3 linked regions of the Drosophila melanogaster genome follow. The protein of the gene in region 2 purifies or fractionates together with the protein of the main gene of each other region. This does not show direct contact. Each region holds a gene or a part of one and is shown on either strand. Other genes may lie near its edges. The genes, in order: U2A, SmF and RluA-2.

The links.
Region 1: the proteins of SmF (region 2) and U2A purify together in Drosophila melanogaster (affinity purification with mass spectrometry, with the first as the bait; one large-scale study listed by BioGRID). This does not show direct contact.
Region 3: the proteins of SmF (region 2) and RluA-2 purify together in Drosophila melanogaster (affinity purification with mass spectrometry, with the first as the bait; one large-scale study listed by BioGRID). This does not show direct contact.

Annotation. Positions count from the first base shown.
Region 1 is NT_033778.4:7,674,862-7,678,168, forward strand, and holds U2A (U2A), read right to left. Parts: upstream 1,502-3,307; 5' UTR 1,375-1,501; coding exon 577-1,374; 3' UTR 501-576; downstream 1-500. Other genes in the region: CG12107 (uncharacterized protein), read left to right, coding at 34-229; LRR (Leucine-rich repeat), read right to left, coding at 2,781-2,873, 3,137-3,307. UniProt on the Drosophila melanogaster protein: Involved in pre-mRNA splicing as component of the spliceosome. Associated with sn-RNP U2, where it contributes to the binding of stem loop IV of U2 snRNA.
Region 2 is NT_033778.4:12,183,134-12,186,116, reverse strand, and holds SmF (small ribonucleoprotein particle protein SmF), read left to right. Parts: upstream 1-1,806; 5' UTR 1,807-1,927; coding exon 1,928-2,194; 3' UTR 2,195-2,273; downstream 2,274-2,983. Other genes in the region: CG13175 (uncharacterized protein), read right to left, coding at 2,896-2,983. UniProt on the Drosophila melanogaster protein: Plays a role in pre-mRNA splicing as a core component of the spliceosomal U1, U2, U4 and U5 small nuclear ribonucleoproteins (snRNPs), the building blocks of the spliceosome.
Region 3 is NT_033779.5:10,475,361-10,483,276, forward strand, and holds RluA-2 (RluA pseudouridine synthase 2), read left to right. Parts: upstream 1-1,712; 5' UTR 1,713-2,025; coding exon 2,026-2,232; intron 2,233-5,737; coding exon 5,738-5,924; intron 5,925-5,987; coding exon 5,988-6,210; intron 6,211-6,261; coding exon 6,262-6,349; intron 6,350-6,402; coding exon 6,403-6,623; intron 6,624-6,682; coding exon 6,683-6,873; intron 6,874-6,924; coding exon 6,925-7,214; intron 7,215-7,264; coding exon 7,265-7,426; intron 7,427-7,484; coding exon 7,485-7,559; 3' UTR 7,560-7,615; downstream 7,616-7,916.

The sequences.
Region 1 (3,307 bases), 4.5 Mb from region 2:
TCACTTCACTTAATCAATCCAATGCGCCCCCAGATTCGCCGGCATCAGCTGCGGGATCGTCTACCTGTACGCCATAAACTTTCAGAACGTGGACGAGGACGCCTACGGAGGGGTATGGGAGCTGATCAAGGAGGGGTTCATGACGTCGTTTGCCGGATTCCTGGTCACGTGGATCATCTTCTACACTGGCCTGCACTACGACGCCATAATGGCGGCGAAAGGATCTTAATAACACTCCCCAGCAATACCGGATTCCAGGAGCCAGGTCCACACCACACCACTCCACTCTCCACATAAGCCAGCAGCTCCTCTCGTTTTGTGTCCCCTTTGTACTCGCTGTAGATTGTTAAACTTTTAGCCAATTACGGTCATGTAAATGCATTTCTGTTGTGACCGATTGTCCCGAATCTTTCCGTGAAAGATCCTTCGGCCAGCGGTCTTAGTTGAAAACAGAAGATTCTATATGTTTTTGAGTGTCCGAAATGCAGAATGCGATGAATCAACTTTTGGTGTTTTATTAAAAAATATTGGTCTACGGTTATAAGGTAGCTGACAGATGAGCGGATAATTCTAGTCCTAGTATTCCATGGCCACGGCCCCCGAACCGTTGTGCCCCGCCCCGTTCTGTGCCACCGCCTCCATCTCGTGCTGAAACTTATCCGGCAGCTGGCCGCTTTGCAGGATCTGCGATAGACGCTCCACCTCTGCCAGAGAGCTGGCCCGCTTGATGGCCTCGCGGATGCGCTGCATGTCCTGCGGATTGGCCAGTCGTCCGCCTTCCGATCCCCTTCCCTTGCCATTCCCCGCCTCTGCAGCTATGGCGGCTGCGGCGCTCATCTTGGACTTCCGGCTAATCTCCTTTAGCACGTCCTTGCCCTGCTTGGTGCGGAAGAACTCCTGCGCCGCCTGGCGGTCCTTCTGCTTGATCTTCCTGAAGTCGAGTAGCCGCAGCTGCGGGAACTTGTAGGCCATGTACTCGCGGTAGTTGGGCTTCGTGGATACCGGGTTGATAAGCAGGCAGATGGTTTCCAGCTTGGTGAATCCGACCAGGGGCTCTAAGTCGCTCAGCTCCTGCAGGTTGTTGCCGGTGAGAATGATGGAGCCCAGGTTGGGCACCGCCTCCTCCAGCCCTTCGCTGATGCGCAGGATGCGGTTGTTGTTCAGCAGCAGGCACTTGAGGCGCGGCAGATGCGGCAGGTTGTCCAGCTTGCGCAGATCGTTGTCGGACAAGTCGATGGTATCAAACTGGTCCAGAGTTGCGCCCAGGTTCTCGATTTGTGGAATCTTATAGCCGCGCAAATCCAGCTCGCGCTCCCGGCATGGGTTTATGTATTGCATCGACTGGTTTATCAGCTCCGGCGTTAGTTTCACCATCTTGGCAGTTATAGTATGCTTACGTTTGGTCTTTACTCGGTCTTTTTATACTCTTTTGAAGCTTATTTTCCGAAATGCAGAAAAACAATTCGCTGCCGACGCGAGTTGGTGATGAACAGTTTTCCGATAGCAAGCAATGCCGGCATCGCTATCGATAGATCTAGTGGTAACAATGTTTTGGTATTTTATCGGTCTGCTGGGCTTCTACCATTCTAAATATCGTAATAATACTGGGATTACTCCAATGCTGCCAATAGGGCCCCTGATCTTTCGAAATTCAAAAATAAATAAATAACACTACTGTCCAATATCGTTTCCGTTTAATTTGAATTTCAATAGATTACAATGATGTTTTAATTGCTTAACTTTAATGAACACGTTAAGTTTCTCTTATTTCGTTTCGGGGTTTTGAATGAGAACGGGATACACTCAAAACTCGAAGTGTGTGGTCGGTGGTGGACTGGTTTAAAGTTTAAACGCTGCTCTGAATATATTCTGTGTCGTTGGTGCAAACTACTAGATCATCAAAATTGAAGTTGATCGTTTTGCGATAAGGGTAATTAGTTTTCTATAGATTTCGGTTTTCTGTTGTTAAATGGCTTAGTAATTTTATATCGGTTTCGTTTTCGCCTAGTTTCTTAAATTGTTAACTATTTAGAAAATAATCAATAAGATCGTCGGTCTCCGCCTTGTTTCTAAATAAATGCATTTGTTTCTGGCGGCATAACGCGCCTCAAAATTTGAAAACGGATTGTCGCTTAAATACTATAAATACTATAAGTATGTGTATAGGGGAGGTAAACAGAAAAGGGGAAATAATAAACCATAAAGTTTGTATTTGGAAGCAGTTATAAAAAATATTATATTTCATTTAGATTTTTTTAGGTTTAGCCCATTAAAATAGTTCTTATACACTCAATCGAATTACATAATATGTATAGTGTATCATATTCATTGCGTTATTTTCGTTAGTTTCATTGAAATTGATGTAGAGCACACGCTAAAAATATTTGTAGATTAATTCTGTATATAATTGGCACTTAACTGATTTAAATACATAAAAATATAAAATATAGTACACAAAACATTTTTAAAAATATGCAAAGGTTAATTTGGATAAAAGTATCAGGGTTTGTATCAATAAATAAATCACGTTCATTCTAAATTGCCAAATGAAAACAACACACACGCGGCATTGCACATAAATTAATGGTTCAGTACGATAAGTTGCAACCTTGTTTCCCTCTATCCTTCTGTCTTCACCATTTCATCTCATTTCCTCCTTATCATCAGTATCATCACTTAACGTTATCATCAACCCTACTATCTATCACGTGAAACTGTGGCAGGTTGGGTGAAGGACTAGGGATCGACGTGAGGGAATGTTGAGCATATAACTAGAACACTTATAAATCAACGACATCCTCCTTGGTGTAGGTCGAGTCTCTAAAACCGCGTCTGGTCGCCATGCTCTGCTGCAGTTCTTCAACTAATGTCTCCTGTGGGTAAGTGGAAGAGTGATTCTATTAGACGGCTCGATTAAATAGGAGCTAAACAGGCAAACACAAACTAGATGAAATTACAGGCAAAATGCGGCATACTGGCTAATACGACACAACTTAAGGAATACACACTATGCAGCAAATGCGAATGTTAGACGCACAGGATGAGCACCGAAATCAACCAAGCGAAGTAGCCAGCCAATTTTGATCGCTGATGAATAAAAGTTATCGCATTGCAGCTCCGGCCTCGGAGATCAAACCTCGAATAGCGTGGAGATCTCCTTGCCGGCTATCCGCTTCACACCACCACTTTCTGCGCAGCTTCCAGACTTGGCGCCCAACTGTCCGTTGCGCATACTGAGGATTTCGTTGCTGATTAAATTGGCACAGGCCTTGGCATGCTGCTTCTCGTAGCTGCTGGATGAACTGCT
Region 2 (2,983 bases):
GCTAAATAGAAAATCTTTTCGGGCAGCAAATATGACACTAAAAATTTGCCAGCAAGGATTTCGTCCTAAGCTTTATTAATTATACATGAGACTACTATTTCTATAGAGCAAATGTCCAAAATATATTTCTTAGAAACCAGTTCTCTATTTATTTTAGTAACAGTAACAGTAACCAAGTAATCTTAATTTTCACAGTTGCCCTCAATTCCATATTAAGTGTGGTTTTTTCAAGGATATCACACTTTTTCAAATTAAAATATACAATTTTGTATACCGAATTTCATAACTTACTTTGAAAATATACAGGTTTTTTTAGTCACACAATTTATTTGCAACTGGCCTAATTCGCAACAAGTTTGTCCAGCAATTTCAAGGAAACTTTTATTGGATCTATAAATTCTGAGCACCCGCGTACACAACCGACAATTAAAGCTCTACGCACCGCACTTGGGGCGATTTGAAATGTTGTTTGCGTTTTTATACTCGAAAGTCTCAAAAGTTCTGAGATAGCAATTTCAAGTGCATACTTATAAATTCACCTGTGTGGTGGAAAAAGCTTTAAAATACGACAAACAAACCACAGCAAATCCAGAGGGACTCTAAGATAATTACAAGTCATGATTACATTTATTATAATGATTCTTAGTTTTAACAACCTTATTTACTTTTTGTGTGCTATGGTTTAGTTAGATTTTTAAAAGCGTTAACGCAATACATATACGATATGAAAAGTATTGCACGCTATAATCTATAAATAATTAAACACAACCGGCTTTCTCGTCAAGCTTTTGATGCATTTGTGAATTTCATTATTGTTGCGTTTGCTGCTTTATAGAAACAATTGCAAAATGCCTGGGCGAAATGACGGGATCAAATAAATCTATCAGATAGCTGCGTTCATAGCCAAGTTCCTTGAGGTAGAGCAGGCGATCCAGGAGAATTAGACTCTCCAGCACCGGAGCAAAGGACATGCGCAGCAGATAGAACAGATCCAAGAAGTATTTATGCACGGCATATTCCTGGAGCAGGGATTGAAGTTCTTCTTTCTCAACAGCTGCCAACCAGGGAGCATCCAATTTGGTGGCACACTTTTGAATGTACTCCTCGAAACTCTCGAATTTCCGTACCTTGCCCACCTGCAGTTCGTTTTTCAGCTCCGGCGCATGGCGGCAAACCAGAATCTCCAAGAGAGCTCGATAGTAGAGCGTTACATTAGGCAGCTCCTTGGTGTCCAAGGTGCGTTCAATTGACTGGGCCGCCAGCATCCGCGCATTGCGACCCATTCGCACTTGTCGCTCCCGCAGGTACTGACTCAATGGGAATCCATAGTCTGTTTGCAGCTCCATCAGGGACTTATTGCCAAAGAACTCCTGCTGCGAATAGCGCTCCCGCAGCAAATGATAGCAGCAGCCAACATTACAAAGCAACCGGCAGTCCGTTTGGGCGTGGAAAACCTGAAGACAGGTGGCGGCCAGGTTGCCACAGGTATGCAATCCAGTAAGGCAAATGTTTGGACTGTCTTCCGGTCTAAACTGAGTGAAATTCTCCGCCAGCAGGGCACCAAAGTTAAGTTCGGTGGTTATAAACTTTGCCGTTGTCTTGTAGTTTTCCAAGGCAGGCGCACTCTTGGTGCTCTCCCTGGCTGGCGACTTTTTACCACGTCTCTTGGGCGTGATTCCCTGGACTTGCAGCTCCGCTCGTTCCGTAAGGCCATTCCAAGCGCGCTGAAATTAAATAAAATTTTAATTTTGGCGCTTTTGAATGGTTTTTCAATACTCTTCTTCTATGCTATTCTTCTTCTTGTTCTGGTATGTTTACACAGCGCAGCTGTGGTCACACTACACAAAAAAAACGCGAAAAGCCGGCGATTTTCGGCACGCTTGTTGTAATATTTTATAAAAAAGGCAGGAAAAATCAAATAAACAGAATGTCGGCTGGTATGCCCATTAACCCCAAGCCCTTCCTGAACGGCCTGACGGGAAAACCGGTGCTGGTGAAGCTGAAGTGGGGCCAGGAGTACAAGGGCTTCCTGGTCTCCGTCGACGGCTACATGAACATGCAGCTGGCGAACACGGAGGAAGTGATCGAGGGCTCCGTGACTGGTAATCTTGGCGAGGTGCTCATCCGCTGCAACAACGTGCTGTATATCAAGGGCATGGAGGACGACGACGAGGAGGGCGAAATGCGCGACTAGCCAATGGATTCACCTACATACACCCACACCTTACTTCTAAGTCTACAAACGTAATGAAATAAAGCTAACTTTATTTTGTAAGCCCGGCCTACCTGCAATTTGCGATTCCTATTCAATGCGTTCTCGGTGTTTGCCGCGTTCGCATCGATGCCGAGCACGCGGTGACCATACTGGAGCGCCAAGCGCGAGGATAAATACCCTTTGCCATCGCCCGCGTCTACAATGAAGCAATCTTGACCGGAGTTCTTCACAAGCTGGTCCACGAGAACGGCTGTTAGATCCACCTAATCGGAGAGATTAATCAATTCCTAAAATACTCTCATTTAAAATGGTTGGTTTACTTACCTCATGGCACTTTTTGGCGCTCATAAACTCCCGAATGCTTAGCTGCGTGGAGTTCCCCTGACCCTCTGAAGCGACAGGCGTTCTTGTTTGCTCTTGCCTAGGAATTCTCGCCATGCCGGAAACCTTTCTGATTCATCAGTTTTCCAAAATAGGTCTTCTATGGCCAGAGCCACATCTTCCTTGCCGGCGATCTCACTTTTCAGCGTTTCGGATAAAAAGCCGTCCCAGTGCTGGTCCGTCAAGTAGTTCACCATGTGGCAATTGACAAAATCCCAGTGCGGATTGAGGAAGGCCAGTAAGCCATCCAGACGCCTCTGCAACTGCACAACTCCCACCTTGGACATGGTGCTATAAGGCTAGAAGCTGTAGTCCTTGTGCTCGACAGAATTGGTCTCTGCAGGCGCTGCACCAGGCGTTTTTTTGGATCCCAGCTGGGCGCGAAGG
Region 3 (7,916 bases), on a different chromosome or scaffold from region 2:
ACTCGTATAAAATCCACTTTTTCGGAATGCTCGAAGCAATTTCATATTCAAAATCATACTTCTGGTGTTGCAGCCACAACCTTCTAATATCAGTTACGACTTGCACCAAATAATCATTCGAAAGAATTCCTCAAAAATTACATACCAACATGAATGTACATATATTCTGAAAACAATGCGTTTGCCTTTTCCGATTGACACAGTGAAAATGAACAAAAGAATGTTGAGGCTGATGATGAGCGAAACAAAAGTATAAAAGATCTGATTCACCAAAAGTGAAATTCGTAACGTAGATCTTGTGGAAGTGAAGAAATTCTTATTATAATCTAAAAAAACATAATTTTTGTTTCAGTATCTAAGCAACTTTATCCTTGTAAGTTTGGTTCCATGTTTTTGAGCGCCAAAAAGTAGGCAACAAATTAAGCTAAATCAAGCGAGCTCGTGTTGATCCTTAGATAAGCAAGGACTATTGAAACAACTCAAAGATAGTTGGATTAGTTTTAATAATTTTTTCCAATTAGCAACTAACCAAAATACAGAAGGCATTATGTTTGATCAAATTTGGGCTAAGGCTCCGCGAATTGCGTGTTTGACTGCGTGACTTTTGTTTTCCGAAACTCACCCACTTTCGCACGGGCCATTCCATTCAGATCCCGACGCCATGGTCTACGGGTATATGGAGTGGAGTGGAGTGGAGGTCTCCTTGAAACGCGGTTGGTCACGAAAGCGAACAACAAAGAAAAGGCTTGCCCGTCATTTGAGGCAACATTTAATGGCCACTGGCTATGGGGCTATATGGCTATATGGCTAAAAAGCTATAGGGCTCATCCTGAATAAACAGGGGTTGGTGTGTGTGGGTGTGTGCGACTAGGTGTGTGTGTGTGTGTGTTGGTGTGCGAGAAGTTGACGTTCGTTTGTGAAAACGAAGAAAGTGATTAAATCAGCACGATATTTTGTAGGTGTGCGCTAGCTCACCCATTAAATTTCTCCCATCCGCATTCGTGTATGTGTGTGTGTGAGCCCGCACACACACCTACACATTTGAGCTACTGTTCTAAATTGACTTTTCGCCTGGACAAAACTAAAAATGACGACATCGCGTTTTTTTTCGCTTTCATAGAAAAGCTTTGCCTCTAAACATGCCCATCATGCGCGTGTTTATAAACAACACAGATCTCTTACCAACCTGTATATAACATTTATATGTATATATATATAGAAAGGTGTGCTGGGCCTCCGATTACACTCCCACATGCATGTTCGCACACATGTATGCAGTTACCAAATATGGGAACACACGTTAATGTAATTAAGCCTTAAGGCTGGATAAATGCCAACTCGAGTCGTATATTATTTGCGATATTGCAGGCAGTTATAAATTAACTTCTTTATGACTGCTGCTAATTTGGATTTTCAATTCGAGTGCTTGTTATTTTGGGTGTTATTTTAAAAGAACTTAAACAGCTTGAAGATAAGGTTTCAAAAACGTTAAGCCATTATCATTATCCCAGGACTGCCTCATTTTTGGTGGAAGCGATTTCTTACATTTTGTTACAATTTAAATCTGTATTGGTTTTTCACGCAATATCTTTAGTTTAACGAATATCATATATCCTATCTTGAACTTCAGCATTTCGAAAACGGTTTCGAGTGGCTTTGAAAAACCAGTAAGTTCCGTGCAAATACCCCTAATGAAGTTCAATCGGCGCGAATCAGTGGTTCGCGCGCTTATCGATAGGCAATGTTTTGGTTTTGCTTGCTTTCGGCATAAAAACGTAATTTTCATGCGGTTTTTGCGGCAATTTAGGGACGTTTTTCGTTTGGCAAGTGGTGTTTGTGTTATGAATTAAAGTAACATTTAACTCATTCAATTGAATCATCGCATAAAGCAGAGTGTTTTTGTGTTTGAAACTGAAATCTGCGCACGTGTTGACTAACTTGTTGTTATTATTATAGCGTTGCTTAGATATTCTAGTAAATTGGCCGCAAATCAAAAACTATAAACAATTCTCGTGGCTGTTGAAAATGGAGAGTTCCAAACTCTTGAGAAATGCACAAACCCAGCATGGAGATGCCTCATCCGTGGACGTGGAAAACATATTCCTGCACCGCCATATGCTATACACAAATCCCACTTCGGATGGCAATCTCCATGATCGGGAAGATTCCCCCGAATGCGTGTGGTGTCCAGACGACAAGGATGGTAGTCCAGCTGAAAGCAAAGATCCACCGGTGAGTAGTGATAAGATAAGACATTCTATTAAGTACATAGATCCGGTTACTATTATATATCAAGATATCATACAATATATAATTACATATGATCCGCATTGTTTGCTGAGTATACCTTGTGTATTTATAAAAAAGAAAACTAAATTTTTAAAATTATATACTGTATAGTTATAATTTTTTAACATTACAGAAATGTTAGAAATATATTGTATATTCAGGAATATATTTATGTGTAAAATCCAGCTGAACTTGATTAAATGCCGTTTTGTTCATGCACTTGAATGCATATTTGTTTACCCTGGCGTGTCGCCCTCCATTATTAATTCCCATTTATTTACCCGCTTTATAGCGAGGAATCCGCGGCTGGCGACCACTTCTCCAACTTTGACCGATTCGCAGCTAGTAAAAGAGCATATTTATCTTGGGGGAATCGAATGCCCAAAACAATTTAGTCCGGTCTGCTCGCAAATTGTGTGGATTCGGATTCCTGTCCTCACTTATGCAGTATTATTGGTGTCGAGGGAAATTTCAATGCAGCAGCTCCAATCGCACACTTAAAACTTAATTAAAAAGCTAATCAGGGAGTAGCAAATGCAATTTGCTGCATTAATTTAAACAATTAATTAGGTACAATTTCAATTGTTGTAATGCTCTTCATATCTAAGCTCATTCATACTGTAGTAGTTTAATTCTAAATTGACGTAATAAACTAGAGGCAAATTAGGTTTTTGATTGAAGCTTAAAGTGTTGTTTTGTATTTATTCTTCAGAAAAAGTTTCGAAGTAAGTTGCAAACTAATTAATAACAATAATGAAAGAAAGCTCAAACAGCATTGCGTGACACCCACACATGTGAGTGAAAGAAATGGGTTTATTTCAGTTTTATTCTATTACCTTAAAGTTTCGAGAGTCATAAAATTGTATATAAACATGCGGTGGAGCCAGGAGGAGTAGCTGCACCCTGGTACCTGGAGATTTAAGCCATTTTTACGAGACTTTGAGTCACAAATGCCCCAATAAACGAGACTGCAGTCAGTGCCTGCAGTGGAAGAGTCAACGTTCTGGCCGCCATAGAAATTTAAAGCCACCCCTAGGCGTCAGTAGATTCTTAAAAATTTAGGGCTTTGCTAAGATGTGCAACAAAAACCAGATTTTAGACAAAACCCTTAATGGCCCACAAAAACCGGTACAGGCATGCTAGTTTCGTGGCTTTTTGTTTGCTGGTTCCTCCACCTCAACGTACGTGACAGTGTCAAATGGCCTTAAATATTTAGCCAGAGTGTACACTTAAAGCGCCAGACCCATTCCTAATTCTCTCTCGCTAATTAAACTAATCAATAAACTAAAAACCGGAGTGTATACAAACGCATATACATTATATACATGTATATATATGTATATAGGGAAATAGCTCGAGGTTGTCGTCTGCAAGGAGTTAAGTTATGTGTGGGGACCAACTGGACGCACGAATGGACGGACACGTTTCACTTGCCTTCGTAGATATTTTACCACGGATTTGTCATAATTAGTTCTTTTTTGGGTGGGGTTTCAGTGGGTTTCTAGTGTCCCGGCATCTCGCGCGGTGGCTGCCTAACGAGCTACTTTTGTCAAGTTGGTCTGTTGGTCGTGATGTTTCCGCAATTATTAGTGTCAGTGCCTCGTGCTTACGGGCGGGTGGGTATCCTAAGTGCGGTCCTCATTGTTTCCGCGATGCGCCTTTTGGGCCAGTCGTTTTTATAATTCTTACAATACCATGTAAACACGCATTACGAAAACCGCCGCGGATGGCGGTTACTGGTTTGCAGGAAGAGGAAAATCCCTCTAAGACTTGGTCGCCTGCACTCCTTTTCCATTTTCCATTCCACTGACACTGGCTTGCGCCATCAAACTGAGGAATTAAAAGGGAAGATAGGCTGCCTGTGGACTAAGTGGCTTTGCGGATCAGGCACACTTTGCGCAATTAACTAAATAAATAAATGTATAGAAAAGTGGTTGTTAAGAAAACATAAGCCTTGTCATTCGAACATATCAAATATTCCCAAATCTTGCCACTTTAAAAACTCTTGTTGGGCTTTTTGCACAGACACAATACCTATTTTTTTTAATAAGGTTTGATTGCATCCCCTCTGTTAATTATAATTAACAGGTAATATTAATGATTTTAACTTTCTTTTTGTGGCATAATAATGGTGGCATATTGACTTGGAACAATCAAAAGCATTATTTATGTTGACTTTAATAGCCAAGGACAAACAAAAAATTATGAAATAAATAAAAATAACAATTGCATTAATATGTAAAATCTGTGTAGTATATATATTAATTAAGACCATAAAGGGAACAAAACCCATAGAGATGGCACTTTCGAATGTGTTGAGATATCTGCGAGGCGCCAAATTGAATTGATCTGGCAACGCTAAGTTGAATTTGTTATCAATGTAGGTTAATGTGAAGAAAAAGAAAAATCGTGGGTTTGTTTACAAAAAAGCGCGATAAAAATAGAATGCGAATTGGCGGCAAGTGAGGGGAGCCGCCGATGATATCCAATTTGTATGATAATTATGCGCACAGGTGTGGACGGATTGGAAATGTGCCATCAAGAGCATGTGGAAACAGAAACATGAGCCAATGAAGGCGACGGAAGAAGAGCATGTCATTATCCTCCAGTTGGATAAGTTCCAAGATGCTGATCCGGATGAAATCAGGGTGTATCAAGAAGCAGTACCCAAGGGAGTTAGCTCCTCTAGTCTTAAAAACACCGCCTAACAATATAAAAACCTTATCGAAACCCATTGTTAGCTGATAACAGCTTTAGAATAATCTCTGCAGGATCAGAGGTCACTGCAATTCTTAAGGTAATTGCAATTCTTAAGGTAATTGCTGTAGAGCTTCGTGAAACTACGAGGACCGACGCAGAATCAATGATGTCTATGGCACTTGAGATGTGGAGAAGGGAGGGCAGCACAAAAATGATAAAAAATGTTTGTATTTTATAGTTTTAAACTTTGCATAACCCTTAAACAACTCAAGAGACCTGTTTTATTATGGACTTTTGTCTATGTTTGCTTCCTGGCTAGAACATATTGGCTGGTAGACCAGTAACCAACAAAATACTACTGGTTCGCAGCCAATTTTGTAGTTTTTGTTTTCCTTTTAGTGTGCAACAAGGAAAAAACAAACAGTCTGTCTGAAAATTATGCTTGGGCTGCAGAATGAAAACGAGGAATTGTTTGCACACAAACACCGGAAACAAGGCTCCAATGTGTTAAGAGCTGATAAGCTGATAAGGATACATATATGATGACTTTGGCACGGTAGGCTTTCGTATTTTCTGTATCTTCAAGAGTGAAGTTCCTCAAATCTAAACGAATTTTCTAAATAGTAAGCAATTGTTCAGTTTAAAGCAAGAACTAAAGGTGTTTTTGCTCAAAAATAAAAAGAAGACATTCAATGAAGCTGAAAATATTTTAAAAAACTATTACCACCCGTCGTGGTTTATCTTACAGATATCCATATCAGAGGAAAAGTCTGAAACGCAATCAAAAGAAGTTTTGTCGGAAAAGCGAAAAGCTAGCAGCACAGATGACGAAGGGCATGTGAAAAAAGTAAAATTAGAGGCCAATAGTCTAAAAACGAAGCGTCCTGGATTCAGCGATGAAAGATACGACGAAACATCGTATTATTTTGAGAATGGTATGGCCAACATATTAATAAACCAACTTAGAAGATATTCTGTTATAAAATTGCAATCTATAGGTCTGCGGAAGGTGTATCCTTATTTTTTCACATTCACCACGTTCGCCAAAGGACGTTGGGTTGATGAGAAAATTCTGGATGTATTTGTCCGCGAATTTCGAGCCGCACCGCCGGAGGAATATGAACGCAGCCTGGAAGCGGGAAAATTGACTGTTAACTCTGAGAAAGTGCCCAAGGACTATAAAATCAAGCACAATGATCTGCTGGCCAATGTGGTGCATAGGTAAGCATCAGCAGGAAATCTCATTTGAATATGCACACATTTGCATTCTAGACACGAAGTCCCTGTTACTTCACAGCCCATCAAGATTGTGTACATGGACAAGGATATTGTGGTTGTGAATAAGCCGGCATCGATACCGGTAGGTATACTAATTTGGAAGGAATTTGATTTAATAACAATCGTATGTTGTAGGTACATCCTTGTGGAAGATATAGACACAACACGGTAGTTTTCATCCTGGCCAAGGAGCACAATCTGAAGAACCTGCGAACCATTCACAGATTGGATCGTCTCACATCTGGCCTACTTTTGTTTGGACGGACTGCTGAAAAAGCCCGCGAATTGGAGCTGCAAATCCGAACTCGCCAAGTGCAAAAGGAATACGTTTGCCGCGTTGAAGGACGCTTTCCAGAGTAAGTCCAAAATGCATCTAATCTTTTATATATCTGCTTATTTTTCATATCTTTCGTAGTGGCATAGTTGAATGCAATGAGAAAATCGACGTCGTGAGCTACAAAATAGGTGTTTGTAAGGTTTCACCGAAGGGCAAGGACTGTAAGACCACATTTAAAAGAATCGGCGAGGTGGGCAGTGATAGTATTGTTTTGTGCAAACCACTAACAGGACGAATGCACCAAATACGAGTGCATTTACAATTCTTGGGTAAGTGACAACCAGATAATTCCATTCAATTATAACACTCGTATTTCACAGGCTATCCCATTTCAAATGATCCTTTGTACAACCATGAAGTTTTCGGTCCATTGAAAGGAAGAGGAGGAGATATCGGTGGAATAACCGAGGAACAGTTGATCAGTAACCTAATTAGCATTCATAATGCAGAAAACTGGTTGGGCTTGGAAGGAGATCAAATCGTATCAGGGGAAATAAAAGACGTAGCAGCAAGTACTTCAGTAGTAGAGGCTCCCTCAGTAGTTCAGGCTCCTATTAATAGTGAAACTGAAAAGCCTGTGATTTCAAAAAACCTTGAACCAAGTAACGATGTAAGTAACTTAAAATAGTTGTACAAGTCTGGAGAACACAATGCTTATAGGCTACTGCACAGATTGCCACCCAAACGTGCTATGAGGAACCAGACAGGTCCTTTGATTCCAAGAAGACAACTTCGGATCCGCAATGTTCTGAATGCAAGATAAACTACAGAGACCCCGGCACAAAGGATCTCATAATGTACTTGCATGCATGGAAATACAAGGTCAGTTTCAAACTATACATTTTTAAAGATTTAATTTCAAATTAAATCTTATTTTCAGGGCGTTGGTTGGGAGTACGAAACCGAATTGCCGGAATGGGCGTGTAATTCGAATATTGATTACGATAAAGTATAAAGGAAAAATTGATTGCAAACACGACGCTTTAGTAAAAAGAAATATTTTTACAGAGTTTAACAAATTGTGTTTCCATTTTATCTTCATTTGTAGCATTGTTTTATTACTTTGCCGAATTACTTTATCATTTTGCGGTGCAAGGGGATGTCCTCGTGGAGTATTATTTATCGTCGTGCAGTGGATGTCCTAGGATGCCAACTATCCTGGATAATACTTTGCAAGAACTTCACCTGAACACTCTGCTCACAGTGGTTTCAGTTAACTGCAGTTCTGCGAATTTTTAAAATTTAAAACCACAATCAGTTGGCGGGAAGGGAATGCCCCTAATTCTATCGATTAGTTGGTTCTTATCGATAA